Linked DNA regions of Sus scrofa. The protein of the gene in region 2 interacts with the protein of the main gene of each other region in a pairwise test. Links are inferred from orthologs where the notes say so. Each region holds a gene or a part of one and is shown on either strand. Other genes may lie near its edges.

Region 1 (10,346 bases), on a different chromosome or scaffold from region 2:
AGCACTTTTTTCTCCTGCTTATAAATAATACCTCAGTAAAATTGTATATATGTTTTTGAATGGATTCTTAATAAATGAAATTTCTGGGTAGAAGGTAAGGACACTTTTAATTCTGAGAGACAAAACCCAATTACACTCCTTAAGAAGTTGTAGTAATTGTCACTCAGAGCAATGGTCCATTTTCCAAGTGTTGGCAACATGGTTGTAATTCAATTGTTAAATCTTCCTTCAATATCTAAATTATTGATTACGGAGTTATTCGGTCATTCTTTCAAACAATGCTTATTAGGCACCTTCTAAATGTCAGGCACTGTGTGAGCAGCTGGGTTTGCTCTCATGCAGGAGTTCCCACCCCTAATCATCAGACTCCTCAGGAGAACTGGGGAAACTGTTTAGTTGTTTGTTTCATTCAGTTTTTGTGTTTTGTTTAACTGCTTCCCAGGTAACGCAGCTAATGACCAGTCAAAAGTAGAGCAGGAGTTCCCCTTGTGGCACAGCGGTAACCATGAGTATCCATGAGGATGTGGGTTCGATCCCTGGCCCCGCTCAGCGGATTAAGATTGTGTTTTGCCATGAGCTGTGGTGTAGGTGGTAGACTCGGCTGGGATCTGGCATTGATGTGCCTGTGGCCTAAGCTGGTGGCTGCAGCTCTGATTTGGCCGCTAGCCTGGGAACTTCCATATGCCCTGGAAAAAAAAAAAAAAGAGAGAGAGAGAGCAAATCTTCTCGCTTCTTTCACTGTGTTTAACGTTTTGTGGAAACCAGGGTCCTGGAAACAGGATCTGTTTACCTAGAGTAAAAGAACAGGGAACTAACTCTCCTGATCTTAAGGAGTAATGCCCAAATGCCAAAATCTATTGTTGCGCTGCGGGTTAAGGAGCCTAGACCCACAGTTGAGTTCAAATTAGATCCCTGGCCCCGAAAATTTCTGTATGCCCCCAGTGTGGGCCAAAAAAAAAAAAAACCCAAAACAAAACTCCTTGTGGCAGGAATGGGCTTATTAGTCCCAATTTACAAATATGCTCCATCCCATTTCTGTTGGGTAGTGAATGTGCAGGAATCTCCTGATCTAGAGGTTTCACAACAGATTAACTCCCTTGATCCACTAACCAGGGCAGGCCACCTCGAAACCGCCACCAAACCTGATTTTAAAACTTTTTACTAGAGGGACCGGTGATAATGGGCATGCGCAACAGCCGCTAAGCAGGCTCTTGCGCCCCTAGCGATCAATAGGCCTCAGTGCAATTGAGAAGTTCGGCTTCATTCGGCCACACTCGGCTTCTAGCCCCGCCTCCAGGTTCCGCCCCTTCCTCCCAGCCCTGGACGTTGATTGGCGAGACGTGGACTATAAGTACTTGAGCGCGGGCGTCTGAAGTATAGGCGTCAGTGCCAGGTGGAGAGCGGTGTTTTCTCGGTGTGTAAGGTTCAAGCGAACTGAGACCACTTCCACCCGGACGCCTGGACTCAGTTGCGAGCTTTCCTGCATAGCCTTCCTCATCGTAGGGAATATGGACGAGACAGGTCACCGTGCCCAGGAAGAGGGGCGGGTCAGGGGGCGCCATGCATTGCTTCGGCTACTCCATCTGCTAAGAATTCAGTGTTCATCAATAAGGCCTGGCTCGGGCATCCACCTGGGGTCCGACCCTAGCCTTGGGTCCCCAAAGCTGAGCCTTGCGGGTTTAGGATTACATAATGTGTAAACCTCAGAACTGCGTCTGCACTTCTGTTCTGTCCGTGGGTTCCCAACTCAAGGCCCGAACACCTACACCAGCACCTGGCCACCGGGAAGGTGCATACCAAGTGTGAATTGATTAAAAGGGGCTGGCAGTGGGGGCAGGCCTGCTGCAGTAGATAGTTGCTGGTCCAGACCTGGGTTCCAGTTGTGGTCCTGCCAGTCACTGCTGCTGAACAAGGTCCTTCTCCCGTTCCTCCTGTGTAAAAGACGGTTGGGCTCTGACAAATAGTAAATGCCAACAAGAGCCAAGTGTTGCCTTAAGTACTGGAGATGCAGATGAGCAACACAGACAGCCCGATCCCCCAACTCACTGTGTGGAGGGAGGAAGACAGTTGAACAAACTACCAGAAATTCACAATTACACGTTTACTTTGCAGTGGTATTCAGAGAACTTGGGCAGAGATTTAATATGTATAGCCTGGGGTGGGCTTCCTGTGGTGTAATAAGTAGAATTAACTGGGTTAAGTAGTCAATGGCCCAGGGATAGGTGGGGATAGTGAGTGCAAAGATCTGGAAGGTGAAAGACACACTTCTTACTTTAATTGGACATCAAAATAACTCTCAAAGTATACAAATAAGAGGACTGGAAGTGTCAGTAAGTTAAATTGAGTAGAACTTGGAGGATTCTTGGGAAGACCGTAACTATTTGAGCAATCCTGTGAAAATATGTGTGATGGTCCCTGACCCTGTGTCCTGACTTTAGGGTTCCAGATTGTTGAATTTGATGTCAACAGTCCAGTTACCATGATGTATGCTGTGTAGCGTTTGTTCTGACTTGAACGGGCATCTCCTGGCTGTTCCAGAACTAAAAACATCAATCTTCTCTTAAAGGCAGCCCTTGTCTATCTCTAGCTAGTGCCCAGGCTTGATTGCAAAGAAAAGGAACTGAGAAATGGCTTGCAAAGTGACAGAGAAGAAAAATAAAAGCATGTGTGTGGAAGAGATACCAGGTTTGGTAAAAGAAATGCTGGACTGAGACAGCTGAGGTGGCAGGCCCTGCCCTAGCTGTGTGAACTTGACAAGGCACCCAAACTCTACCAGGAACTGGGTCTTGATATAGAACAGGGCTACTTAAGTTCTCCTGACGTGTCAAGTTCAGAATGGAAGAATCTGTGAATGTTATTTTTAAACTATAAAGTGCCATCCAATCAAACCAATAGTTACCTAGCTCACACTGTTCCCTCAGAATTTTACTGTATATGCTCCTTCAAGTTATAGGAGAGAAAAAAAAAAAGAATTTGACACATTCTATTTGAATTTGTAGCAATTTATCCAGTTGTCTTATCACATAAATACTTTTAATTCGAAGTTCCCTTTGTGGCTCAGTGGTTAGTGAGCCTGACTATCATCCATGAGGACACGGGTTTGATCCCTGGCCTAGCCCAGTGGGTTAAGGATCTAGCATTGCTGTGAGCTGTGGTGTGGGCTGCAGATGCGCTCAGATCCCGTGTTGCTATGCCTGTGGTGTAGGCTGGCAGGTGTGGCTCTGATTGGACCCCTAGCCTGGGAATCTCCATATGACGCGGGTGCAACCCTAAAAAGACAGGAAAAAAAAAAAATTCTTTCACTTCAATTAGTTTTTCTCTTTCCCAAAAGGTGCTTTTAAAGCTTTACTTTTCACGTATGGATCACTCCCATTTTCAGGTGATAAGAACAAAAAAAAAACAAAAACAAAACAAAACACCAAACAACTGTGTAACAGTTTACAGGAGCGTCAAGTTTTTTTTCTTGTTTTTTAGGGCCACATTCACAGCATATTTAAGTTCCCAGGCTAGGGGTCAAATGGGAGCTACAGCAGCTGACCTACATCACAGCTCAAGGCAACGTCAGATCCTTAACCCACTGAGGGAGGCCAGGGATCCACCCTGAATCCTCCATGGATTTGGGTTTTAACCTGTTACTAAGAATTCCTCTGTAACTGTAATCTCCACTGATAATTTAGGACCATCTCTTTTGTTTGATAGAGATTTTTCACTGCTTTAAACATTCTGAGATGTCTCTTGATAGGTAGTTTCTGCTGGGCAATACTAATATGGGTTTGATTTTACAGGACACACCAGCCACTTGCCAAAGAGCTATAGGTAACAAATGGTCCCGTATATTGGAGTGAAGACAGTTGGGGCCAGAAAACCCTGCTTTTTGTGAACCCTTCAACTTCATGTCCTTATCAATAAATGCACAGAGGTAAGGGCAAGATGTTATAAATCCAAGTCCTAGGTTGGTCCCTGGCACTTTGAAAAGTGAACCAATTTACACTTGACATTGTTCTGTCACATCCTCCCCAAAAGCTATTCTACTTGTTAGCTTTTCAAAATACAGGTTTGAAATTTGGCTTCATTCACTTGGTATAACTGAGACCTTAACCTGAACTTCCCCCACTCCTTCAGTATTGTTGAACTAAACCCAAGGGATGTGACAATTAATATTCTAATTCATATTGCTCAGCACAGGTCAAAAATTTTTAGCCAGGATCACACTTGGAAATTATCCAAGGGGCTCTCTAAATCTGAGGTCTAGTGACTCTAACTCAGATTCAGGTATAGAGGATAAACTCTGTAATCATGAAGTCATGTGGGTAATGTGGACAATCTGAACCTTCTCCTGCCTCCCCATACAGTTTGTGATGCTGCAGAGTTTCTGCCATGGCAAAAGACAAAGCCAGTGGCTATCTTTACATAGCAACACCCCCAGAATTATCAAGACCAACATCAGTGAATAGCTCAGCTTTTTATTATCGAATGTTATAGAAGTTTAGTCAAAAAGACCAAAGCCCATATCATCATCAGACTCCTCAGATTCTTCTTTCTTTGCTTCTACTTTCTTCTCCTCAGCTAAAAAAATAAAAATAAAAAATAAAAAATTAATATAAAGTCAATTACCTCTCAAACTCCAGGCCTTTCAACTGACATGGTCAAAAATACCCTTAACTTCCCTTATCAAACTATGCCTCTGGATTTAGGATTTCTATATATCAGCTACTCTTAGCAAATGAAGAACAATTTTGCCCATAATACTCAATCTCCACACTCCTCCCTCCTGAAACAAGTTTCCTACCTGGGGCAGCAGTGGTGGCTGGGGCAGGACCTCCTGCTGGTGCAGCACCAGCTGCTGGGGCAGGTCCACCAGCCCCCACATTGCAGATGAGGCTCCCGATGTTGACATTGGCCAGAGCCTGCAACACATGCATATACAGGTTAATGTTCAGTTCTGTTCTTTTCTTATAGTACCCACCAGGGAAAAATGGAACTCCTTTTGAACTTAGTAATCAATCCCAACACTGTACCTATTTCTCTTTCTTCACCTTTGCTGGAATCTGCCAGTGACATTTTGTTTGCTACTTAGACAGGACAGCTATACTTTAATCAAGAGTCACTGAATTGCTTACTTTTATAGATGAAAAAACTGGCCCCAAAATACTTAACGAGTTGGAAGACACCCTAAGCTTCCTTAAAACACTCAAACTAGGAATTCTTTCCAAGTTCCTTGGGTAGGAATGCTGTACTCACTAGTCTTTAAGTATTCAGTAAAAGACCACCGCACCAATTTCTATGGTGGCAGTTTACTTGGAATAGCACAAATATTATTATCTCCTGGGTGATCCTTTTATGAAGGGATTATCTGCTTAGTACATATTCTATCGTGGTTTTATAACAGAAGAAAGTGAAGTCTGAGACCAGAAAATAAGACATGACACCAAAAACTTAATTAGCTCTTAGAGATAGAAATGTGAGGAAATACTGCCTATACTTGGACAAGTCCAGGGGAACATGGGGCCTCCTGGCACTCCTGGAGATTAAATTAATACCTGACTTAATAAATCAGTAAGTCTTCCAAAATTAGTTTCTCCAAATCATTCTGCCGCCATCACCTTACCTTTGCAAACAAGCCTGGCCAGAATGGCTCAACATTTACACCTGCTGCTTTAATGAGAGCATTGATCTTATCCTCCTAAAACAAATAAAATAACAATCCATCAGAGTAATGTATAGCTTCCATACATGTCTCCAAAATACTGCAAATTGAAAGCAAATGACTCAAAACCTGGGTACAAAACCAGTTTAACCAGTTCAAATATCCTACTGGCACTGCACCTAGGCTTAAGGCGACCGTTTTTTACACTCTTGTGAAGAATGTCACTAAGAAAAAAAAAAAAGAAAGAAAAAAGCCTCTGTTCCTGTATGCCAGATACTTTACTAGGCGGCGAGTCCATCCCTGCCATTTCCCAGGCTGGGTCTTGCTCAAGTCACGCAGCTATTTTAAGTCGCGAGGCAAGGCCAGAAGTGGAGCAGGGCTCGAGTGCTCCCCTCCACACCACGCGGCCAAGCCCCACAAGGCCTACTAACAGAACCACAGGCAAAGCAATCACACCAAGAAGAGGTATAAAAAGTCCTGGGATATAACAAGCTACAGATGAGCCTGCCGACGCGCTGCACAAGTTTCTCCAAATAAAGGTTCTCAAAGCCAGAGCGCGACGCCGAAAGTGAAATCCACTCCCTCCCGGGCCTGCACATGGCCGAGACCCAGGCCGCCCGGCACGTGCGCCCGATCCCTCCGGCCCTGTGCCGTGGTGTGGATAGCCGCGGCTCCAGCCCTAAGGGCCTGCCCGCGACGCCCTCGAGGGTGGGGAGCCGGCCACCCGTAGGCCGCCTCGCCGCCAGCCCAGGCCAACACTTACCGTGACCGTAACCTCATCGTCGTGCAGAATGAGGGCAGAGTAGATGCAGGCGAGCTCCGAGACGGAAGCCATGGTGCGGACCAATGCTAGGTGGGGGCTGCCAGGCGCGGTGCTAGTCGCCGGATGAAGTGAGGGCCTCACCCCAACGCGGCCTTAGCTTCCTCGGAAGAACCGAGCACCTTAGCGGCAGCTGAGGAAAGGGATTCCTCGCGCCTGCGCGCAGCCTCTTATACTGGTCACGAGGACCAATCGGCGCCCGCGCCTGCCGGAAGAGGCGGTGCTAGGACCTCCCGCTACAATTCACCCAAAACGCCTGCGCAAAAACATAAGTCGCTCATTTGCAAGTTCAGAAAGTTGCTAGGCAGCTGAAGATGCTAACTCGCTGGGTTTCGGTAAAAACTCAGGATTTGGGGACAGTAGAAATACTTTTAGGAGAAAGCTAGGTTAATAGGCATTAATCCTTTCTGCTACTTAAGCAGTCATTTAATGCCGTCGCCAGCGTCCCCACCAGCCGGCAGTGTCCAGCTGAAGGCGGGAGCTAGGTTTTAGCCTGGAGGTTCTGGGGCTTAGCGCAGTCTCGGATAAGATACTAAGGGAATGTACTCGAAAATGAGAAACCTGCAACGTTGCCGTAGCATTTGAGCGCCTACTATGTTCCAAGCACCGAACCACACTCTACCAGAATTCATTTAATCCTCACACAGCATAAAAGGTAAGTACTATTATCTCCATTTTGCAACTGGCAAAACTAAGGTGTAGGCTGGTAACACCTAAGATTCCGCAGTTACTGCGAACCTGAATTTGGAATCTGGGAACCTAACTTCAGTGCTTTCTACTTGTGCGTGCAGAGAGGAATGGGTTTGGGGATTATGAGTAAATTTTCTTTGTTTTTTCTTCCAAAGCATAAAAGGTATATTAGGAATATAGGGGAACTTTCCACTTCAACTTTATTTTTTGTGACTAAGGGACCCCATGATTGGGTGGAAATGCCTTGAAACTGCAGCTGCGATGTTAAAAAATTTCTTGAGTTAACTCCTCTCTGGCTAGGTGCTGTATTGCCGTTTTGTGTCTTTTGAAGCTAATAAAACTGGTGTTGGGTTCATACGGAGAGGTATGCTTTAAAATTTTTTAAATTGAGGTATAATTGACAGTTTCAGGTGTACAACATTAATTGATATTGTTTATATTGTAAAGTGATCACCAAGTCCTGTTAACATCCATTACCATACTTAGATTAAAAAAAATTTTTTCTTCGAATAGGACTCTTAAGGTCTACTCTCTTATCAACTTTTAAATATGATACAGTATTATTAACTGTACTCATGCTATACATTGCATTCTCATGCCTTATTTATTTTATAACTGGAAGATTGTAAATTTTGACCCCCTTCACCATTTTCACTCACCTCAGCATCCCCACTTCTGGCAACCACCAATCTGTTTCAGTAGCAATGGATTTGTTTGGGGGGGGTTGGGTTTTTTTAATTCCACGTATAGTATTTGTCTTTATATGACTCATTTCACTTAGCATAATGCCCTCAAGATGTATGTTGATATTTGTTGTCTCAAATGACAAGAGTTTATTCTTTTTATGGCTGAATAGTGTTCCATCACATTTTCTTTATCCACTCATCCATTGGTGGACAGACACTTGGGTTGTTTTCGCATCTTGGATATTGTAAATAATGCTGCAGTGAACATGGGGTGTAGGTATCTTTTCAAGTTGGTGTTTTTCGTGGATACATACTTGGAAATGGAATTTCTGGATCTTATAGTACTTCTACTTTTAATTTTTGGAGGAATCTCAATACTGTTTTCCATAATTCTTGCACCAATTTACATTCCCACCAACAGTATATAAGAGTTCCCATTTATCCACAGACTCACCAACACTTTTCTCTTCCTGATGATAGCCGTTCTAACAAGTGTGAGGTGACAGCTCATTCTGGTTTTTACTTGCATTTCCCCAATGATTAGTGATTTTGAGCACCTTTTTTTAATGAATTTTATTACATTTATAGTTTTGAGCACCTTTTAATGTTGGACATCTATATGTCTTCTTTGGAAAAATGTCAATTCAGTTCTGCCCATTTTTTAATTCTATTGTTTGGGGTTTTGCTATTGAGTTGTATTTTTTTTTTTTTGCATGCTCTGGATATCAACTCCTTATCAGATATATGATTTGCAGATATCTTCTCCCATTTGATATGCTGCCTTTTCATTTTGTTGCTGGTTTCCTTTGCTGTGCAAAAGCAGCTTACTAGTTTGATGTCTTTTTTTTTTTTTTTGTCTTTTTAGCTATTTCTTGGGCCGCTCCCACGGCATATGGAGGTTCCCAGGCTAGGGGTCGAATCGGAGCTGTAGCCCCTGGCCTATGCCAGAGCCACAGCAACGCGGGATCCGAGCCGCGTCTGCAGCCTACGCTGGATTGTTAACCCACTGAGCAAGGGCAGGGACCGAACCCGAAACCTCATGGTTCCTAGTCGGATTCGTTAACCACTGTGCCACGACGGGAACTCCTAATTTAATGTCTTTCTACCTATTTGTTTTTGTTTTGTTGCCTTCACTACTTTTGGAGTCAGATCCAAAAAGTCATCACCAATGGGAAGGAACTTACCGCCTAGGTTTTCCTTTAGGACTTTTATAGTTTGAGACCTTACATTTAATTCTTTAATCCATTTCAAGTTAAATTTGTGTCTATGATGTAATATAGTGGTTTGGTTCCATTCTTTTGCATGTGGCTGACCAGTTTCCCAACACCATTTGTTAAAGATACCATCCTTTCCTCATTGTATAGTTTTGGCTACTTTCTCAAAAATTAATTGACCATTTATGCATGAATTTCTTTCTTTCTTTCTTTCTTTCTTTCTTTCTTTCTTTCTTTGTCTTTTTTTGTCTTTTCTAGGGCCAAACCCACGGCATATGGAGGTTCCCAGCTAGGGGTCTAATTGGAGCTGTAGCTGCCAGCCTACACCACAGCCACAGCAATGTGGGATCCGAGCCTCATCTGCAACCTACACCACAGCTCACAACAACACTAGATCCTTATCCTGCCGTGTCCTTGATTTTTTTTTTTTTTTTTTTTTGGTCTTTTCTAGGGCCCCTCCCACAGCGTATGGTGGTTCCCAGGCTAGGGGACTAATTGGAGCTATAGCTGCCGGCCTACGCCACAGCCAGGGCAATGCGGGATCCTTAACCCTCTGAGCAAGGCCAGGGATTGAACCCACAACCTCATGGTTCCTAGTCGGATTCGTTAGCCACTGTGCCATGATGGGAACTCTGCATGAATTTATTTCTGGACTCTCTATTCTGTTCTATGGATCTGTGTTTGTTTTTATCCCAAACCATACTATACTGTTTGATTGCTATGGCTATATAATTCAGTTTGAAATCAGGTTTGTTGTTAAGATTACTTTGGCTATATTGTGGTACCACATAAATTTTAGGATTGTCCTATTTCTGTGAAAAATGCCATTGGAATTTTGACAGGAATTGCATTGAATCTGTAGATTGCTTGGGGTTATATGGACATTTTAACAGTATTCTTCGTCATGAGAATGGAATATATGTATCTCATCAGTATCTTTTTTTTTAGGATTTTATTTTTTCTATTATAGTTGATTTACAATGTTCTATCAATTTCTGCTGTATAGCAAAGTGACCCAGTTATACATATATATACATTCTTTTTCTCACATTATCCTCCATCATGTTCCATCACAAGACACTAGATGAAGTTCCCTGTGCTATGCAGCAGGACCTCATTGCTTATCTACCCCAAATGCAATAGTTAGCATCTACGAACCCCAAACTCTCTGTCTATCCCACTCCCCCGCACCTGGCAAGCACAAGTCTGTTCTCTACATCCATGAGTCTGCTTTTTTTTTTTTTGTAGATAGTTTCATTTGTGCCATGTATCAGATTCCAGATATAAGT
Region 2 (9,900 bases):
TGGCTTCCCTTTTCACTCCCCTAGCCAAATGGATGGGCTCATTTTCTAAGACAATCTCAAGCTCACCAAACCATCACTATAAACAAAGCTTTAGGGGAGAGAGATGCCTTTTCATCTGGAAAGCTTCATACTGCAGGGACAGAGAAAACCAGATCATGTGACGGCCAGCCTCTGCTCAAGGGATCTGTTCAAAGCAACACCAAATGGGATATTCTCCTCTCTCTAATTTTTAAGGGCACTAAGAGAATTGATTAACCTGAAGGTGAGAGGTATCATTTTTTCAGATGTCCTGATTAGGCTTCTCATATCCCTGAAAGGTTATCAGCTAAAGCAAAAATATTGTCAAAATGTGAAGCTGCCTTTTCAGAGGCCAGAGTCCTTTCAGAGGCTTCTGGCCTCCAAAGAAGAGTCTGCCTAAGCTCTCCAGGTTCCCAGGACCCCTGGTGACCTCAGTCAACCTGATGCAGTATCTTCTAACGAACTGCAATCAGTGGATAGCACTTCACGGTTACCTGAAGAAAGCAAATGTCTTACTGCTTTAGGTAACAAACAAGGTGACATGGAAAACACAGCTCTCCTGGAAGGTGGGGTCTCCGTCACCAGGCTCACTCCAAAGCACCGAGGCTGACTCTGGGGTGCTTTCTCCCATATTCCAGTTGAGGTGGGTGCCCTGATGACCAAGGCTAAGGCCACACTGCCAGCTGCACAGCCTTAGGGAGATAGGCTCCATCCTAGCCGGGCTCAGAAAAAACGACTGCCACCCTGCTGGACACTATGAACCACAAGGCCTCAGGTCTGACTTGGAATCTTCAAGAATGAGAACTAGAAGAGGCATTTGCATTATCTAATCATCATCAAATAATCTCTCCCCAGGGCTGCTTGGGTTGACTGTCTTGCATGTCTCCTATTTTTTTGTGAAATGCGGATGGGACCAGGATGAAGCTGTATTATCAGTCATAGCTAACTCTCATTTCTCTTAAAGCAAAAATTCATCCTACTATGGAGATTTCTCCAGGTATTTCTTCTAATTCTAAATCTACTCTCAACTCAACCAGGTCGGGCTTAGAGAATAATTCAGAAATCTAAAAATCATAAAGTCGTGGCAAAAATCACATTGTGGTTATCAAATCCTTCTTTTAAACTAAACTAAAAAAAAAGTGGCTCAGGCTAAGCTCTTTTAAAAAAAAAGATCAAAGTAGGGAGGCAACAAAGGTATTAACGCACAGCACTGAGACGGAAATGACAAATACATTAAGTTCAATGTGTGAAAAGCACACTCAGGTGCAACAGAAGACTGATGACTCGCTGGTGCAAGAGGTTTAGAATAAACCCCTGCACAGGGTATGGGAGGAGGAGAAAAGGGAGGGTGAAGGAGCAAGCAAAGTTCCATTGGGAACTTTTTCCTTCTAGAATTCTGAAAACAAAACGTGACCTTTTTTCTTCTAAGCAAGTCTAAGAGATTTTTACATGGGCCAACTCCTAATACCAAAACAGAGAACAGTTCTCTGCCATGAAGGAAGCTGACTATGTGGCAACGCGTGTGCAAAACTTCAAGCACTCTCTGAGGGCGGTGACCCGCTCTGCTCCCCGGAGGCCACGGGTAGTAGCAAGGCCTCAAGTGCCTCACTTTGCACAGGACTCGCAATGCAGCGCAGAGGGCAGAGGTCCTGCCGCCAGGCCAGCGTCCAGGCCTTCCTCAGCCTCCCAGGGGGTGATACTCCCACCCTCTTTGATCCCTCCAGATGGCCTCGGCTCAGACTCAGTGAGGGAACTCTCCGAGCAGGGCACAAAACAATCCATTCATTAACTTTTCCATCCGGTTATGTCTGCTATGAGAAAAATCAAGACTCCTGTGTCACGGACTGCACTGTTCTGAGAGCCTACCTAAAGATCTAAACCCTTGGAGCCCTTACCCACCCCCCACCTCCCAGTCCTGGTCCAACAAAAACAAAAACAAAAACAAAACAAAAAAAAACAAACAAAAAAAAAGAAAGGCATGATCTCACTAGTGTTTCCCAAAGGGCTGTAATTTATAAACTAAAAACAAATTTTAATTAAAAAAGAAATCCACAGCTCTCTTTCTCTATCCTGAGTATGGTGCACTTTGAAGGACACTCCGGTAACAACCAAGAATCTACGACATGCAAATTCACTGTGGGAAAGACTTTATATCTGCCCTGAACACAGGAACCTGCTTCTGTCAAGCCCAAATAAAATGAGTACTTACAGGATTAATGGCAAATCAGTGTCACTGGAATATTCTGCAAGCAGGGTAAACTTTGTGCTTTCTTTTGTCTCTCCTCACTCTCTCCAGGGGAGAGAGAAAGGTTGCTGCAATCACGGGTCTAAGCAATCTACCCCGGAAAGTGGTGCCTGCTACGCCAGTAAAGACAGCCATGGTGTTTATGGTGCCAGGGAGGGAAAACACCAACCCCTGCTCCTCAGGATCCCAGTGCAACAGAAAACAGCACCAGTTTCAACAATTCTAGTGTTGGACAAAGCCTTCTTTTGTCAGTTAGGAAAGCATCAGCACAATCTCTCCAGTAACCGCATTAATGGGATCCATTCACGTCACTAAAAAATACTTCTTGGCACAGTTCACTTTCCTGACCCAAAGACGCCAACAACAATCCAAACTGGATTCTGTAGGGTGGTATACTGTTACACCAGCCCAGTGAAAACATCTTCAGATCATTAAAAAAATGCACAAACTATTATTAACACTGCAATTCCTATTTCAGGACCACTGACTATTTTCCTGCAAAGCACTTTCAATCCATATCACAAAGGAAGAATTTATTTGGAAGAATGTGTTTTTGGGGATTGCATTTAGTGCTCAGTTGAATTTATTTTATTTTCTTCTTTATTTGGCCAGAACCTCAGAATGCCCTACATCAGGTAATAAGCAGCAGTGTGTTCGTTTTAAAGTAGGACATGGGAACAGTGAGCTGGCCTTTAGACTCAAATCCCATGGTGCTATCTATCCACTGGGACCCTTCCTTGGGAGCAAAATTTCATTCCCAGAGGTAGAGCGGTGTCCTAAGGAAACTGCTGGCCCTGTTTCTGGCTCCGTGTTTCAAGACTAGGAAAGAAGATGCAAACTGAGAGCAGAGAGCAAAAATTAAAAAGTTCATCGACTGATGTCCCCCAAAATGCTGAACGTTAAATGACACAGGCCTACCACATACATACATTTTAGTGGGAGGGAAGAGCAAAAGGTTTTCAAAGTCTGAGTATTTATTAGAATTTTTAAATAAAGAGAACTACGATTTTAATTTCACATCTTGGCTATGTTCTGACAAAGGAGGTGCCACTAAGAGTATAGCAACAAACTCCTGTCCCCAGCCAGGGACCGATCAGTGCCCCCCTCCCGCACCCGCCCCACCCCAAGACCCTTTTCTGCATATTTTTCAACTAAACAACACAACTGGCAAATGAAACCAGCATCAAACCTGTAGCAAAAACCAACAAGACAGTCTGCAGTGAGCCAATGCACTATGTAGCTGTTCTGGAAAGGGATTAAGCCTCCTCCCATACCACTTCTCAGTGGAGGACGGACCTTTCACATCCCAGGGGGGAGACAAATTTACTATTTCTGAGCATGCTCCATGGTGCAATTACAAGTGTTGTATACCTGACAAAGGCAAGCAAAGACCTGAATTCTCCTCCTGTGTACTCCTTAGGAACTTAACACGGTTACTCAGAATGCGGACGGGACTGCACAGCTGCACTCACCAGGTACAGCCGGATGCTTCGGAGCACAAGGACAACATCCAGTTCAGCACGATGTAAGGCATGTATGTACAAGGAGAGAGGCCGCTGTCAGCGGTAAGTAGCATTATGGAAAAAATTCCAAACCAGCAGGATAGAAACAGTGCTCGATGCTCCAGTTTTTTAGATAGTAATTCCAAGAATCCAGTTCAAATCCCTATGGTTAACACGTAGGGAGGAATACAATTTCTATCATTGTTTCTCCAGATCTGAGCTGAGGCTTCGGAATAAAAAAGAAAATGGGTTTCTTCCTGTTTCTTTCTTGGCGTGGAAACAGCGTCGGGAAGAGAAGGCCATGAGTCCTGGGAGCACCTACATGAAGGTAGCGAAGCTCTCCCTGCACCCACATAACTACGGCCAAGGCCGGGGGAAAAACAGAGGGCGGGGAAACTCACCTAGCCACTAGCATCAAAAACAAAAAAGGTGAATTAATTGTGAGGCTCTCCAGAAACACCCCAAATGTAAAAAACAAAACCTTTAAGAAGTAAACAGTTAAATTCCCTTCCTACAAGCCATTTATTTACATATTATATGCCCAGTATATAATGTGTAGATAAATGTATCCTGCAGTGAAAGTGACCAACCTACCAGACTTAAGAGCACATTATAGGACAAATTCTTGAAAGGTTTCATCTCATATTGGTATCTTTTAATAAAAAAAAAAAAAAAAAATTAAAAATCAAAGAAAAATATCTGGCCAGGATTGGAATGAGGCAAACAGGAACACTTCAGAATCCAAGGCAGAAGGAAGGCTGTTTGCCTCTTCAGAGGATTGAAGGGGTGTGGAAAGGGAGACAGATCATGCACAAAAGTACTTACAAATTACATACCCAACCCCCACCCCCTCAATAAAAAGAGAAGAAAAAGCCCGATCACTTAACACCAAACAGCAACGTTATCAATAAACCCTTTCTCTGCTGCCCATCATGCCTTATTTGAAAGAGGAGGCCTGTGAGGAGAGGTGAAAAGAGCAAGGGTGAGAGGGAAGATCTGCACTTCAGTCTAGTTTCCAATTTCCATTTCTCTTACAGGAAGTCTTCAGTCATCTAATGCCTGGCATCGAGCTCTGAGCAGACACTGAGTACGTGGTGGCCACGACCGGGGTGCCGTTGTTGGCTGAGTAGCCTTGCCTCAACGTTTCAAAATACGACGCCTGCACCGGTTTGTGATACTGCAACACTTTTATGGCATCTTCTATTTTAAACCATTCCCTCTTCCTTCCTGTGGAGGCAGCGAGAAAAAGAAGTTAGTACAAAAGGGAAGCAGTGAGGGAGTTCCCCTTGTGGCACAGCGGAAACGAACCTGACTAGCATCCATGAGGTCTTGGGTTTGATCCCTGGACTTGCTCAGCAGGTCGGGCATCAAGAGTTGCTGTGAGCTGTGGTGTAGGTCACAGATGCCGCTCAGATGCCGGATCCCATGTTGCTGTGGCTGTGGTGTAGGCCAGCAGCTGTAGCTCCAATTTGACCCTTTGCCTGGGAACTTCCATATGCCGAGGGCGTGGCCCTATTTAAGGAAGGGAAAAAAAAAAAAAAAAAAAAAAAAGAAGGGAAGTAGTAAAAGGGTTCTGATCTGATAACACCCCCCCCCCGCCCCCCGCTTTTTAAGGCCACACTCTGCATGCGGAGGTTCCCAGGCTGGGAGTCTAATGAGAGCTACAGCTGCTAGCCTACACCACAGCCACAGCAACTTGGGATCTGAGCCGCATTTGCGACCTATACCACAGCTCATGGCAACACCGGATCCTTAACCCACTGAGCGAGGCCAGGGTTCAAACCTGTGTCCTCATGGATGCTAGTCAGGTTTGCTAACAGCTGAACCACTATGGGAACTCCTCTCTTTTTGATTTTATTTTTATTATTATTTTGTCTTTTTGTCTTTTTAGGGCCACACCTGCAACATGTGGAGGTTCCCAGGCTAGGAGTCGAATAAGAGCTGTAACTGCTGACCTACACCACAGCCACAGCAATGTCAGATCCGAGCTGCATCTTCGACCCACACCACGGCTCACAGCAACACCAGGTCCTCAACCCACTGATCAAGGTCAGAGATGGAACCCGCAACCTCACGGTTCCTAGTCGGATTCATTTCCACTGCACCATGATGGGAACTTCCTCGACTTTAAATTGAAGTATAACTGACCAACAACACTGTTAATTCTAGGTGTATAACATAATGATTTGATATTTCTCTAAATTACAAAATGATCACTATGATTAACATTTAAAAAATATGCATTATAAATACATTTTTCCTTATGTTCTTTTCTTACAAGAGTGATGCAAGCACAGTTTTTTTTTTTTTTTTTTTTTTTTTGGTCTGTTTAGGGCCACACCACAGCTTATGGAAGTTCCCAGGCTAAGGGCCGAATCGGAGCTGCAGCTGCTGGCCTACACCACAGCCACAGCAATATGGGATCCGAGCCGCCTCTGCAACCTACACCACAGTTCATGCAACACCAGATCCTTAACCCACTGAGCGAGGCCAGGCATCAAACCTGCATCCTCATGAATACTAGTCAGATTCATTCCCGCTGAGCCACGACAGGAACTCCTATTTTCCAGTATATTTAAAAAATGTTTTTCAAACGTATGCTTTAAAATCCTTTATTATTTTTTCTCTTACAAAAGTAATAAAAGAACATAGGTTAAAATTGAGAAAACAGGGAAAAAAGGTGTAAAGAATAAGATAATTACCTGTAATCTTATAAACCAGAATACCTTAGTGTATTTGCCTTTCTTTCATTTTACTTGAAGACACAGTAAATCAACAACTATGACTAGGATCATGCTGTAAGGTGCTCCACATCCTCGGAGGCTCTGCTGATGGAGTGTTGGTGCCCGAAACATGGACACTGAAGCCAATATGCTGGGCTCCGATCATATCACTAGATCTAATGAACTGTGTAGCTTTGGGCAAGTTACTGAACCTCTCTGTGCTTCACTTTCCTCATCTAAAAATAGAGATAATTATTTCTATCTTGTGAGATAGGACCTATCTCACAGAACTGTTGTGAGAGCTAATATGTAAAGCATTTGAGGAGTTCCCGTCGTGGCGCAGCAGAAATGAATCTGACTAGGAACCATGAGGTTGCGGTTCGATCCCTGGCCTTGCTCAGAGGGTTAAGGATCTGGCGTTGCTGTGAGCTGTGGTGTAGGTGGCAGACGTGGCTCGGATCCTGCGTTGTTGTGCAGCTGTAGCTCTGACTGGACCCCTAGCCTAGAAACCTCCATATGCTGCGGGTGCAGCCCTAAAAATAAATAAAGAAAGCAAGCAAGCATTTGAATAACACCAGGCACAGAGTACAAGCTGTAAGAGTTTGCTTTATTATTATTACTGTTATTGCTTCTTTTCTCCTTCACACTGTTCCTCAGGCATTTTCTATGTTGTGAGAGTATGACATTTAATAGCTGCATTACATCATAATATCTAGCGTGGATGTTATGTCATTCACTTAACTATTTCCCTATCACTGGAAATCTATAGCCTGCAACTTTAGTTATTATTTTTTTTTAAAGCTCTCAGGGAAAGATCCCTAGAACTGAGATTATAAGAAAAAAACATCTGAACACTCTAGGGCTTGTACATAAACTGCCAAACTGCTTTCCAGAAAGGATCTCCAATCCTGACTGTGTGTGTTGAAATGTAGGTCTCACCACACTCCTGCCAGCCCTGTTAATTTTCATTTGTCATGGCCACTTCTTTCTTTCTTTCTTTCTTTCTTTCTTTTTTAGGGCTGCAGGTATGACATATGGAAGTTCCCAGGCTAGGGGTCCAACTGGAGCTACAGCTGCCAACCTACACCACAGCCACAGCAACACAGGATCCAAGCTACATCTGCGACTGATACCACATCTTATGGCAATGCCAATCCTTAACCCACTAAGCAAGGCCAGGGATCAAACCTGTATCCTCCTACTGGTAGTGATTGTTACTGCCACAACGGGAGCTCCCACTGTCATGGCCAATTAGTTATGTGAAAATCAATACCTCATCTTTGTTTCACTTCAAATTTCTATTCTGATGAGCTTTAAGTAACGTATATATAATTCTATACGCTGTCTTCATTCACCAACACAATTGCATAAGCTCTTTCCCATGGTATAGCGCTTTCATAAGTATGTATTTAATAGCTGCATAACATTCCATCAGGTAAATGGAACTTAGATCACTTATTTCGCTGAGATGTACATTTAGGACCCAATTTCTCATCTGAAAAAGGCTTATCTGAAGGAAGGCTCACAGGCTTATTCCCCATATTTTAGAATATTTCATTAGGGTCAATTCTCAGAAGTGGGAGTTCAGGCGAAAGGCTTGTTTGGATATTAAAAGAGTAATGGTACCTTAAAAATTAGTATCACAAGTGTGTGACTCCTGCCTGAAAGAGCACTCTGAGGACAGGACCATGCCACACTCATCTCTGTCACTTTTTCAGGCCCCAGTACCAGCTGTCAAGGAGTCTATTTTTAATACCCTCACTGAATTTATTTATACTTAAGCTTACTGCATTCTTAGCAAATACAAAGCAATTAAGAGCTGAAGGGCTAGGAAATAACCAGATCAACAGAGAGAGGCATGGTGGCAAAGCACATACTAACAATAAAGGGAGAGGTTGGGCAAGTGAATTACATCTGTCTGCCAATTTATAACATCAATTAAATATCACACCTTTCTAGAATATACTTTCCTTCAGAGCCAACAGATTAAACTATGAGCCAACCACTAAATCACAATTTCTGCCCAAAAGACAAAATATACATACCACATGTGATCCGAGATCAAAGAAAACAGCTCCTTGGGAGTTTCTGTCGTGGCTCAGCAGAAACGGATCTGACTAGTATCCAGGAGGATGCAGCTTCCACCCCTGGCCTTGCTCAGTGAGTTAGGATCTAGCGTTGCATAGGTGGTGGATGCGGCTCGGATCCCATGTAGGCTGGTGGCTACACCTTCAACTAGACTAGACCCCTAGCCTGGAGACTTCCACATGCCACGGGTGCAGCCCCTTCCAAAAAAGAAAAAGGCTCCTTGGGAGAAAGCTGGGTGCATCTGAGGGGTAAAATGAATACAGCTGGAAACTACTCCCACTGCTCTGTACCCGCTATGCAGCTCTGGAGGGATGGGCTATACCACCAGACCAAGAGTTTTCTCCAACAATATGAATAAGCATAACAAGGAACAGCCAAGGTTCTGCTCTCACTTGGGGTTGGTGGCCAGTGGGGAGCCCAGCATTGTGGAGGCCTTGAACAGTTTCTGCTCAGGAGGACCCAATTTATTATTTTTATTATTATTTGTCCTTTCTAGGGCCGCTCCTGCGGCATATACGGAGGTTCCCAGCCCAGGGGTCTACCTGGAGCTGTAGCTGCCGGCCTACACCAGAGCCACAGCAACGCCAGATCCGAGCCACATCTGTGACCTACACCACGGCAATGCCAGAACCTTAACCCACTGAGCTAGGCCAGGGATTGAACCTGTAACCTCATGGTTCCTAGTCAGATTCGTTAACCACTGAGCCACGATGGGAACGCCCCAATTTTTTTTTTTTTTTTTTTTGTCTTTTTGCCTTTTCTAGGGCCGCTCCCACGGCATATGGAGGTTCCCAGGCTAGGGGTCTAACCGGAGCTGTAGCCAGTGACCTACACCAGAGCCATCTGCGACCTATACCACAGCTCACGGCAATGACGGATTCTTAACCCACTGAGCAAGGGCAGGGATTGAACCAGCAACCTCATGGTTCCTAGTTGGATTCGTTAGCCACTGCGCCACAGCGGGAACTCCCTCCCCAATTTATTATTATATTTTTTGGCTGCACCCACAGCATGAGGAAGTTCCCGGGCCAGGGATCAAACCTGCACCACAGCAAGTGACCCGAGTCACTACAGTGACAACACCAGATCCTTACCCTGCTGTGCCACAAGAGAACTCCCCAATTTGGCTTTAGAAACTACAGGTCTTACTTTTATGGGCTGTTTTTCTAATTGTTGACTATGTTCCCAACTTTTAAAGACTTCAAAAGACCACCTTTCAGCAAGTTCAAACATGGATACCCTTCTGTCATGTCTTTTCTTTATCAGGCTCCCATCCATGGCTCTGGGTAATGGCTGTGTCATGGCAAGGGCTGGTTGCGGGGAG
Region 3 (9,900 bases), on a different chromosome or scaffold from region 2:
TGTGGCCAAGTCTGGCCGAAAGGACTGGGAGAGGACTGGACACAAACCCAGTTGGGGCCAGTGGACACAGGAAGCTGTGAGAGCAGGTCACTCTCCCGGGATGAGGACGCAGTCAGAAGGCTCCCAAGGCCAATGCCTGCAGGGAAGCCCCCTCTGCTCAGCCCATTTCTCCCCAGTAGGGATGCCGGCCTAGGATGGAGGGAAGGGGGAGCAAGGCAGACCCATGAACTTCAAAGGGGGCGAGTTCTTGAGGACACGGCTGAATCCGGGGTCGGAATGACCCTGAAACCTGCTCTAGTTCTGACGCTTTCGGTCTCAGCTGGTTTCCTTCTGCTTCCAAAGGAGTCTGCTTACCGAGGGGTCCTCAGGAAGCACAAAGGTCAAACCCCGACTCGATGCCCTCCTCCACCCACAAGAAAGGAGCCAGAGGAAAACGCCCTGCAGAGCGCGGAACCCTAACCGCAGATGCCCGACAGAAACTGGATCCAGCCACCCCACGACCAGCCCGGCTGGAAGGCCTGCAGCCGCTTCTAATCCAGATATCTTATCTTTGCATAAGAAACAAAAACCACTCCAGGGACCAACCCTATGCAGAGCAAATTGTGTTCTCCAAAAAGCCTTAGAAGTGGTGCATTAAAGTGAGTGAGACTCACTAGGAGAAAACTACGTATAACTTATGCTCAAAAGGCTGTCACCTGGAGAGAATTCATCTTTTTTTCTCTTTCTGAACCGTTTGGGTTTTTTCCTGAGTTGCCCCGGAATGGACGAGCTAAACCCAACACACCTGCCGTGAGCAGAGCGGGTATAAACACTGCGCACCTGCGCTGGGCAAAGCAGGTATGAACAGAACGCACCTGCGTTGAGAAGCACTTTGACGCAGTCCAGATGCTCGCGGGCGCAGGCGACGTGCAGCGGGGTCCCGAAGTGGCAGTCGTGCGCTTCCAGATTGGCCCCAACGTCGATAAGAAGCCTCACACACTCAGAACTTCCTTAAAAGAGATGGAGCCAGGAGAAAGGTGTCAGAGTCACACACATTTGAAATAAGCGTGGCAGACAGGCGCTGGGACAGGTAAGCCCCCAGCTAGGCGGCAGTGGGAGAGGGGGGAGTGGGACGACTCCCCAGCCAGGAGCTGCCCAGGCCCCAGGTGGCCCTGGTGAGCAGGGGGTGGGTGCCTCCCCTGGGGAGCTCAGAGGGGGCCCTGAAGCCCACCCGGCATGAGAAACAGAGGAAGGATGGGCACGGCCAGGCCCCAGCTGAAAGTTGGGGTACCAGTGTGGACACAGGGAAGACTTCTCACTGCCCCTCAGCCCTCGGGGGGAGAGAAGGGGCTCCCCACCTCTGGCTGCCCCCCAAGCTGCAGTCAGGATGAACTTCCCTAAACTCCCCACCTCGTGTCCCCCTTCCCCCCCAGTGGACAGCTTTCCAGGTTGTTTCCTGGATCTGCTGCAGCATCTCTAACAGGGGCTGGGGCTGGGTCTACGGGTGGGGCTGGGGTCTGTCTCCGGCTCTACTCCCTCCCAAGCTCTGTCATCTCGTCCCCTGGTCATGCTCGGTGGTTGGTTCCTGAGTCTCCAGCCCAAAAACCCAGCCCCACCTCTCTGGCCTGGCGCCTGCCATTCATTCCCATGTGTGGACGTCTCCACCACCACAAGTGAGTCGGCCTTGACCCCGTGCTCTCCTCTCCTTTACGTCAAATCCTCATGTTCTTCCCCCAAAGCGCTCCAGGCGAACCCATCCCTCTTGGGCTCCACAAGCTTTGTGCAGTGACAGCCCCCAACACATCTCACTTCCGAGGTGCGTCCCCCCACCATTTCATGGAAAGGTGCAGAGGTCCCCCCCCCCGATATGCCCCTTTGGCATGGGGATCCTTGTGAGCCGAAGACAGATGAAGAAGCCAGTGGAAGACTAACTCTCTGCCCTCCCCGCTTCGCCCAAAAGTAGGACAAAGGTAAATGTGGGAAGGGTCCCCTCCCCTCTCTGCCAGGAAGGACAGAAGCTAATCACGAGGACGGCTCTGAACCCTGATCAGCCGGAGCCACCACTGAGGCGTCTACACAGCAAACCTTACTGACAGGCTTTCCGTCCCAGTGGTTCCCCTGTGTATTTGCCTTCCCACAGCTTGCCAGCTCCAGAAGCTCAGTCCTTTTCTTGGTCCTGTCACTGCTCTTTGTTAAGATACTACATTCATCTTCGCAGGAGGAACTCCCCCGTGGCTCAGCAGCATAAGGATCTGGCGTTGTCTGTGCTGCAGCTCTGATTACAGCTGTGCCCTGGGAATTTTTGTGTGCTTTGGGTGCAGCCAAAAAAAGGGGGGTGCCATATGAACCCAAGTTCTAACCACCCTTTGCCTTGGCTCTCCTGTGTGGGTGTGCAGGGCACACACAAACCCACTTTTGCTTGTTCATCTTTTTTTTTTTTTTTTTTTTTTTTTGCCTTTTGTCTTTTCAGGGCCGTACCCGAGGCATATGGAGGTTCCCAGGCTGGGGGTCTAATTGGAGCTACAGCTGCCATCCTACACCACAGTCATAGCAACAGCAGATCCCAGCCACGTCTGTGACCTACACCACAGCTCCCGGCAATGTCGGATCCTTAACCCACTGAGCAAGGCCAGGGATTGAACCTGCAACCTCATGGTTCCTAGTCGGATTCGTTTCTGCTGCGCCGTGACATGGGAACTCGAATTTTTTTTTGTTTGTTTGTCTTTTATTAATTGATCCTTGTCAGTCTAACAGGCAGGGCCCTGGCCAATGAACCTAAGGCAGGTGAAGGAAGAAAAAACAAACTTCCCTCCCCTGCCTGTATGTGGATGGCCACTAGACAGACCTTTCCAAAAGGTGGTTTTGCTGTCATCATTCAGCATCTGCGCAAAAACCTTCAAAGCTGCCCGTAGTGATCCCCAGTGCCTGCGGGTGACAAAGGTGACCTAACTGTGGGAACGGGGGTGCAGGCAGCAGGGACAGTGGGCCTGCGTGGGGCCCACACCCCAACAAATGCAGCCAGAGCGAACACCGTGCCAGCCAAAGCCCAGGACACAAGCATGCAGCCCTTGCTCCAAACAGTGGAACCCAAACTCCCTAGTCTGTCATCTGAAACATGGCACCAGCTGGTTTCACCCCAAATGCTGGGTTCTACCTGCTGTAGCCCCTCTCTGGGGCCCTTGTGACCCAGCAAGACTGGGGTGGCCTCAACCTCCACTCTCGGAGGGCGCTGGAAACCCACCTGCTCCCTGAGCTTCAGGGACCAGCTCCCCGCTGCTCTGAGAGCACCCGCCTCCCTCGGGGATGCGCCTGGACTGCCTCTCCCAAGAGATGGGGCCGCAGGGCAGGAGGTCAGCAGCGCCGGGTGAGGGGCACAGAGGGGACCTGCCTCCAGGGGTGGCATCTCGAAAGGCAGTGACTCGGCTGGAACTGGAGCCCTGCCTCCAGCTCCCAGCCCCCAGCCCTGCCCGAGGACAGCGTCTCCAGGACAAAACGCCTAGGATCCAAGAGCCACATACGGCCTGGGAGCCCATCACCAGCGATGGTGGCCCCTCCAGCCCGCACTGCCCCCCGACTCACCGCTCATGCAGGCCTCGTGGAGCGGGGACGCCGTGTAGAGGGGGGGGTTGACCTTGGCCCCGTAGGAGAGCAGCAGTTTCACGCACTCCACGCTGCCTGAGGCGCAGGCGTCACAGAGCGGGGTGCTGCCGTCAATGTTGCGGGCATCCACCTGCGTCGAGGCAGAATCCAGCGTCAGGGTGGGGGAGGGCGCAGGCTGCTAGCGTCCTCCACCCAATGTACCATCAACTCTGCAAACACGCTGGGTCATTTTTCCAAGAAGTTCTTGGGTTCTCCGTCATTTGCTGGGGCACCGAGCCAGGCAAGGCCGTTCAGAGACAGGAAGCAGGCGGTGCCTACAGGCCACGCAGGTGCAGCGGGCCTGCTGTTTGGGCTTTTTTTTCTGTCCCGGGTTAGACTGACTCAGCCTCGCTCCAGACACCACCCCAACTCCCAGTGAGCCCTGGCGGGATGTGAAAAGGGGTTTTCACTCCAGCCTTCGCCAGGAGGAGGCCCCAAAACTGTTTAACAGGCCTCCTCTAGTAGGAAAACCACAGGGCAGGAAAAAGGCAACTCCCTAAACTGGCAGGTTCTGCTTAGAATTGGTCCAGATTCAGCTGTCATTTGGGTTTGTGTTGAAGGTTGTTTGCCCCGTCTGGAACGGCCTTGATAGCCAAGTTCTGGAAAAGTAATAGTGGACAACCATCCTTCTTCTGCCCCCATCTCTGTCCAGGGGTGGGCAAGCCAGGCCAGCTCCGACCAGTTCACCCAGCCCACTGTTAAATTCCCAGCAATTCCATCAGCCGGATACGGCCAGAGCGCCAGATGGGCTGGGGTTTGGCAGCTACGCCAGGGCAAGCAGCAAATAGAGATCTTGCTCTTGGGCCTCTTACCTTCCGTCCCAGAGCTGGCGTGCCAGCATCCCACTTAGCCTCATCTCGGAGGCCAGACAGCTCCTGCAGCCAAGGCCCTGCCAGGCCTGCAGGCAGCCTGCCTGTGTCCACGGCCTGCCCGGCCCACGGGCATGCAGAGCACGCCACCATGTTGCTAAACCATCCCTCTCTCGCCACCAGTGACCTCCCAACAGCCAGGTCCATGAGCATCCTCCGCGCAAGGCTGCCATAAAGATGGGCCGGCCCTCCCTCCTGCCTGGGCACCCACTGCAGCCTACTCTGATTTCCTTTCCCCCTGCCCCTTCCCAGCCTCCTCTAGTGGTCTCCTTTCTTTCTGTGTGTTTGCATAACAGAATGCTCTTCGAAGGCCTCTGGAGCTGGTCTGTCCAGCCCATCCTGGGGCTTGGGGTCTCAGGGTGGCTCACCTGGGCCCCGGCAGCCAGCAGCAGCTGCACGCACTGCGCCTGGCCCTGCAGGCTGGCCGCGTGCAGGGGCGTGATGGAGTCCACGGTGACCTGGTTGACGCAGGCGCCGCTCTCGATCAGCTGCTGCAGCTGACGCGTCTCCCCCCGCTGGGCCGCCTCGTGCACGGGGGTGCGCTCCACCCAGAAGCCTGGAAAGGAGAAAACCTAGCACTCAGGCCCTGCCCCGTCTGCCCAGGGCAGAAGGACGTGCGTACCCCAGGGACCCTGCACGAAACCCAAGCCACTGTACACGTGATCGTGGGATTGGCCCCAATACCCCTACTCACATTCTTGAGGGACCCCCAGTGCCTGGGGTGGCGTCCAACCTTCCAGCAAGGTCTAGATGGTGCTTCGTGGTCTGGACTTCGCTCGCCTCCTTGACTGGTCTCCCACCCGCCACTGCCTCCCGCAGCCCCCTCTCCAGCCACACCGCTAGCTCAGTGTGGTTTCCCGCACACACACACACCTGCCTCTCTGCATATGTTCTCTCTGCCTGAGGAGCCCACCTTTGCCCCCACCCAGCCAGCCATCCTGCAGTCTCCTGTTTAGATGGTACAGAGTCCGCATGGGCCCATTTGAAACATCGCCTCTGGGAACAGCCCTTGGCATTTACACGGCCCCGCCTCCTGGCCTGGGAGAACCTTGCAAGTAGGGGCTTGGGTTAGTTATCCAATTTTAGCAGACTCGCGGGATTTTCTACCTACAAAATCGTGTTGTCTGTATGTAAATCAATACAGAGGCATCCGCCTTTCTAATCTGTGTGCCTTTTTTTTTTTTTTCTTGCCTAATTGCTTGGCTTGAATGTCCAGCCCTACATGGAGTGGCAGGGCTGGGAGGCACCTCCTGGCCTTGTTCCTGGTCCTGGAACAAAAGCTTTCATTCCTTCACCACGAAGCGTCTTGTGAGCTGTGGGTTTTCACAGAGCCCTTTATCAGGCCAAAGAAGTTCTCCAGTGTCTCGTGTGTTGAGTGTTTTCATCATGAGAGGGTGTTGGATTTCGTTAAGTACTTTTCTCTGCATCTATTGCAATGATTGTGCCCGCTTTCTTTCACTAATTCTATCTCAGGGGTGTACTGCACGGGTTGATTTTCAGATGTTAAACCTACTGTGCAGTCCTGGGAGAAATTCCACCTGGTTATGGTGTATAATCTTTTCATGTGATGCTAGATTCGGTTTGTGCATATTTTGAGGATTTCTGAGTCTATATTCCTAAGGGTCATTTTTCCTGTGGTTTTTGTATGTGTCCAGTTTGGGTATCCGTGTAATACTGGCCTCAGAGAATGAGTTGGGAAGTAGTCTCGAATTTTTGGAAGAGTTTATGAAGAACTGGTATTAAATCTTTAACTCTTGGGTCAAATTCATCTGAGTGGGCCTGGGCTTTCTTTTAGGTTTTTAAATTACTAATCCAAGCTCTTCATTTGTTACACGTCCTCCCAGACGTTCTAATTTTTTCTTTGTTTTTTGAGTCAGTTTGGGTAGCTCGTGGTGTCTTTTTAGGAATTTGTCCACTTCATCTACTTTATCTAATTTGTCGGCATACAGTTGGTTATGAACCGAACTGCGTCTCCTCCCGCCCCTCCCCCGGCCAAAATTCCCATGTTGAAGCCCTAACCCCAAACATCTCAAAATGTGGCTGTATTTGGAGATGGGACCTTCACAAAAGTAATTAAGTTAGAGCCAGGCCCATCAGGTTGGGCGCTAATCCAGTCTGACCAGTGTCCTTATGAGAAGAGATCGGGGCACATACCAGGGATGTGTTTGCGCAGGGAAAAGCCCCGGAGGACATGTGTGTATACACCACATCTTCCTAATCCAGTCGTGTGTCGATGGACATTTGGGTTGTTTCCATGTCTTGGCTGTTGTGAATAGTGCTGCAACGAACATGCAGGGGGCATGTGTCGTTTTCAAAGAAAGTTTTGTCCGGATATATGCCCATGAGTGGGACTGCGGGGTCGTACGGTCGTTCTATATATAGTTTTCTCAGGAACCTCCATGCTGTTTTCCACAGTGATTGTACCAATTTACATTCCCACCAGCAGTGCAGCGGGTTCCCCTTGCTGCACACCCCCTCCAGCACGTGTCATTTGTAGACTTTCTAACGATGGCCATTCTGACAGGTGTGAGGCATGTGAATTTCTAACAAGCGCCCAGACGATGCTGATGCAGCCGGTCTGGGAACCACACTTTGAGAACCATGGCTTCAGACATCCCTCCTCCCCACCTCTGGCCTCTCTCCCCATCCCCCTTGTCCCCCTCCCTCTCGTCCTAAATAACACCTACTTGTTCCTTTCCTGGCTGAAATCTAGTCAGTTTTGCAGACAGCCTTGCCCCATCTCAGCCCTGCCCACGCTGAGTTCGACCATCGTCTGTGCCCCGAGGGGCCGCCGTTTGTCCCCACCAGGCCCTACTGTGCCACAGTCCACACCTGCTGCCCACCGCACGGCGGAAGTGGACTAGAGAGTGGTCACTGTCGGGGTTCCCAGAGCCACCCACCCACCCAGACCAGCAGCCTAAGCTGATCACAGATTCCCATTTCCCGTAGAACGTCGGACCCAAGGCCAGCGAATACGTGGGGCGAGTGCTGAGGGGCTCCCGGCTGGACACAGCCTTCCCGCCTCCCCGGATGGGGCCGGGAGTTGAGCTGGGACCTGAAGACAGACGAGAAGCACCAGGTGAGTCACTGCCCCTGGGGCCCGGAGCCCCGAGCCCTGGCTCCCTGTGCTGCGAGCTTGAGGTTCCTTCACCGGCTCGGCCAGGTGCGCACGAACCCCGCGTGCAGACTCCCCGAACCCAAACTACATTTGCACAGCGAACGTCTCAGCCCCTGTCAGAGCAGCTGGGCTGCAGGGCAGCCTTCCTGGCACCCTTCAAACGCCGTAAGTGGCAGCAGAGCCGGGCTATGCTGACACATCCTTCCCGGCAAGGCCCCCCAGACGGCATCACAACACACCCCTCTCAGGATACGCCTTTCCTTGTATTAGTGCTGCATTCTATGTCCCTGTCGCTCAAACTCCTTCCCCTCGGCCAGAGGTCCCAGGTCTTAGCCACAGCGCTGTGTGAACCTTGTCCCGGGTGAATTTATTTCCTGGGCGGTTGATAGCCTCCTGGGTTCCGTGTGGATGTCGGTCCCTCCTGAGACCCCGTCCCCCCAGCCATCCCGCAGCCGCCCAGCCTGCAGGGGAGCGGAGTGGTGTGGGGCTCAGGGTCCTCCAGGGCCAGCCGGCTCGGGTCCGAGAACCAGCGCAGCCATGTCTCAGCTTGGGCGAGAACTAGCGTGTGAAGTGGGATAGTGATACCGTTCATTCACCACCGGGTTATGGAAATTCAGTGGGAGTTCCTGTCATGGCTCAGCAGGTCAAGAACCCAACTAGTTATCTATGAGGACGTGGGTTCAATCCCTGGCCTCGCTCAGTGGCTTAAGGATCCAGTGTTACTGTGAGCTGTGATGGGGGTCACAGATGCGGCTCGGATCCCGTGTTGCTGTGGCGATTGTGTAGGCTAGCAGCTGTAGCTCCGATTCAACTCCTAGCCTAGGAACCTCCATGTGCTGCAGGTGTGGCCCTAAAAAAAAAAAAATCAAATTAAAGGCACTAAGCATCAGGCCAGCACAAACTCAGGAAGTGGGGTCTATCTGGGGTCTTTTTTGCCCCTTGTTGTACCATCTGTGTGACCCCATGGGGGGGGGGTCACGGGCCAGGGAGCTGAAGGGAGGACTCGAGGTGGAGGAAGGTCTGACTCCCACAGAATGTAGAAGCCAAGCTTGGGGCACCTCCTGTTTGCTGCCCCAAGGAGAGGACCTAGGGTGTCTCCCCTGTAGTGATGAACAGCTGCCCTCCGGCCTGGGGGTGGGGTGGGGGGAGGGAGTGGAAAGTGGCTTTAAGGTCAGTCCGAGGGGAGCAAAGCCCCAAGGGCAGATGGAGCGCCTCCAGCCCTACAAAGAGGAGAACAGGGCAAACCCAGCATCCGCAGGAAGGAGGGGGCCCGGGCTGGGCGTTTCCCCTCAGCATCCATTCAGCAGCCACTGCTGCCGCCGCCGCCGCCGTTGTGCACAAGGACAACTGGATGGGACAAGGAGCAGTTCACGGCCATGGGTGGGGGTGGGCAAATAATTCAAAACAACGCAACTGTAACACTGGAGGAACACGCCAAGTTACAGGATCTTAGAAGCAAGACCCGTCCTTGGCCGGGCCCATCAGGAAAGCGTGACAGGACAGGCAGGGCTGCAGTGACTTGCTGGGCGTGGTTTGCTCGCCTCTGTTCCCAGCACCTGCCACAGCGTGCGGCCTGGCAAATGTGCTCAGATCATTTGTTTGTTGAATGAATAAGGGACGAGTGGATGGAAGGGATTATTAATATGAATTATAAAGCCTGGATGTAAAATGTTTTAAAGAAAATCTTATTTCATTCCATTATGACCAGTCCATAGAGGAAGCGTAACTTACTGGGAATTATATTTTCTAATGAATAAACATCAGCTGCAGTTGTTTTAGCAGCAGCTGAGGACAGAGGTCAGCAGCAGCAGATGTGAGAATAAAGGAGAGAATTTCTGTGCATCAAGGAACACAGTTGACAGTGAAAAGGCACCTAGAGAGTGGGAGGAAATATTTGAAAATCACATGTACCAGAATATATAAAGAGCACCTACAACTCAACAACATAAATAACCCAATTAAAAAATGAACGAAGGACCTCAATAGATATTTCCTTAAAGAAGGGATATAAATGGCCAACAGCTACGTGAAAAGATGCTCAACATCACTAATCTTTAGAGAAACACAAATCAAAACCACAGTGAGAAAGCACCTCGCACCCACTAGGGTGGCTACTGTCAAAAAAGCCCAGAAAATAAATGTGGGCAAAGATGTGGAGAAACTGGAACCCTTAGCATTGTGGGTAGGAATGTAAAGTGGCACAGGACTTAGGGACAAGAGCATTCTGGTTCCTAAAATTGAAACAGAATTACCATATGACCCAGCAATTTTTATCTGAAGAAAATGCAAACACTA

What was found.
Region 1: the proteins of NUDT3 (region 2) and RPLP1 interact in a two-hybrid assay, tested with the Homo sapiens proteins (2 studies listed by BioGRID and IntAct). The link is inferred for Sus scrofa from reciprocal best matches to the Homo sapiens genes NUDT3 and RPLP1.
Region 3: the proteins of NUDT3 (region 2) and ASB13 interact in a two-hybrid assay, tested with the Homo sapiens proteins (2 studies listed by BioGRID and IntAct). The link is inferred for Sus scrofa from reciprocal best matches to the Homo sapiens genes NUDT3 and ASB13.

The regions. Positions count from the first base shown.
Region 1 is NC_010443.5:167,292,362-167,302,707, reverse strand, and holds RPLP1 (60S acidic ribosomal protein P1), read right to left. Parts: upstream 6,625-10,346; 5' UTR 6,483-6,624; coding exon 6,411-6,482; intron 5,684-6,410; coding exon 5,609-5,683; intron 4,908-5,608; coding exon 4,790-4,907; intron 4,567-4,789; coding exon 4,487-4,566; 3' UTR 4,444-4,486; downstream 1-4,443. UniProt on the Homo sapiens protein: Plays an important role in the elongation step of protein synthesis.
Region 2 is NC_010449.5:30,346,476-30,356,375, forward strand, and holds part of NUDT3 (diphosphoinositol polyphosphate phosphohydrolase 1), read right to left. Parts: intron 4,993-9,900; coding exon 4,814-4,992; 3' UTR 1-4,813. UniProt on the Homo sapiens protein: Cleaves a beta-phosphate from the diphosphate groups in PP-InsP5 (diphosphoinositol pentakisphosphate) and [PP]2-InsP4 (bisdiphosphoinositol tetrakisphosphate), suggesting that it may play a role in signal transduction.
Region 3 is NC_010452.4:65,284,771-65,294,670, reverse strand, and holds part of ASB13 (ankyrin repeat and SOCS box protein 13), read right to left. Parts: intron 8,335-9,900; exon of another isoform or gene 7,971-8,334; coding exon of another isoform or gene 7,437-7,970; intron 6,766-7,436; coding exon 6,642-6,765; intron 5,044-6,641; coding exon 4,856-5,043; intron 3,710-4,855; coding exon 3,559-3,709; intron 990-3,558; coding exon 855-989; exon of another isoform or gene 1-854. Other genes in the region: uncharacterized protein LOC106505208, read left to right, coding at 7,437-7,970. UniProt on the Homo sapiens protein: May be a substrate-recognition component of a SCF-like ECS (Elongin-Cullin-SOCS-box protein) E3 ubiquitin-protein ligase complex which mediates the ubiquitination and subsequent proteasomal degradation of target proteins.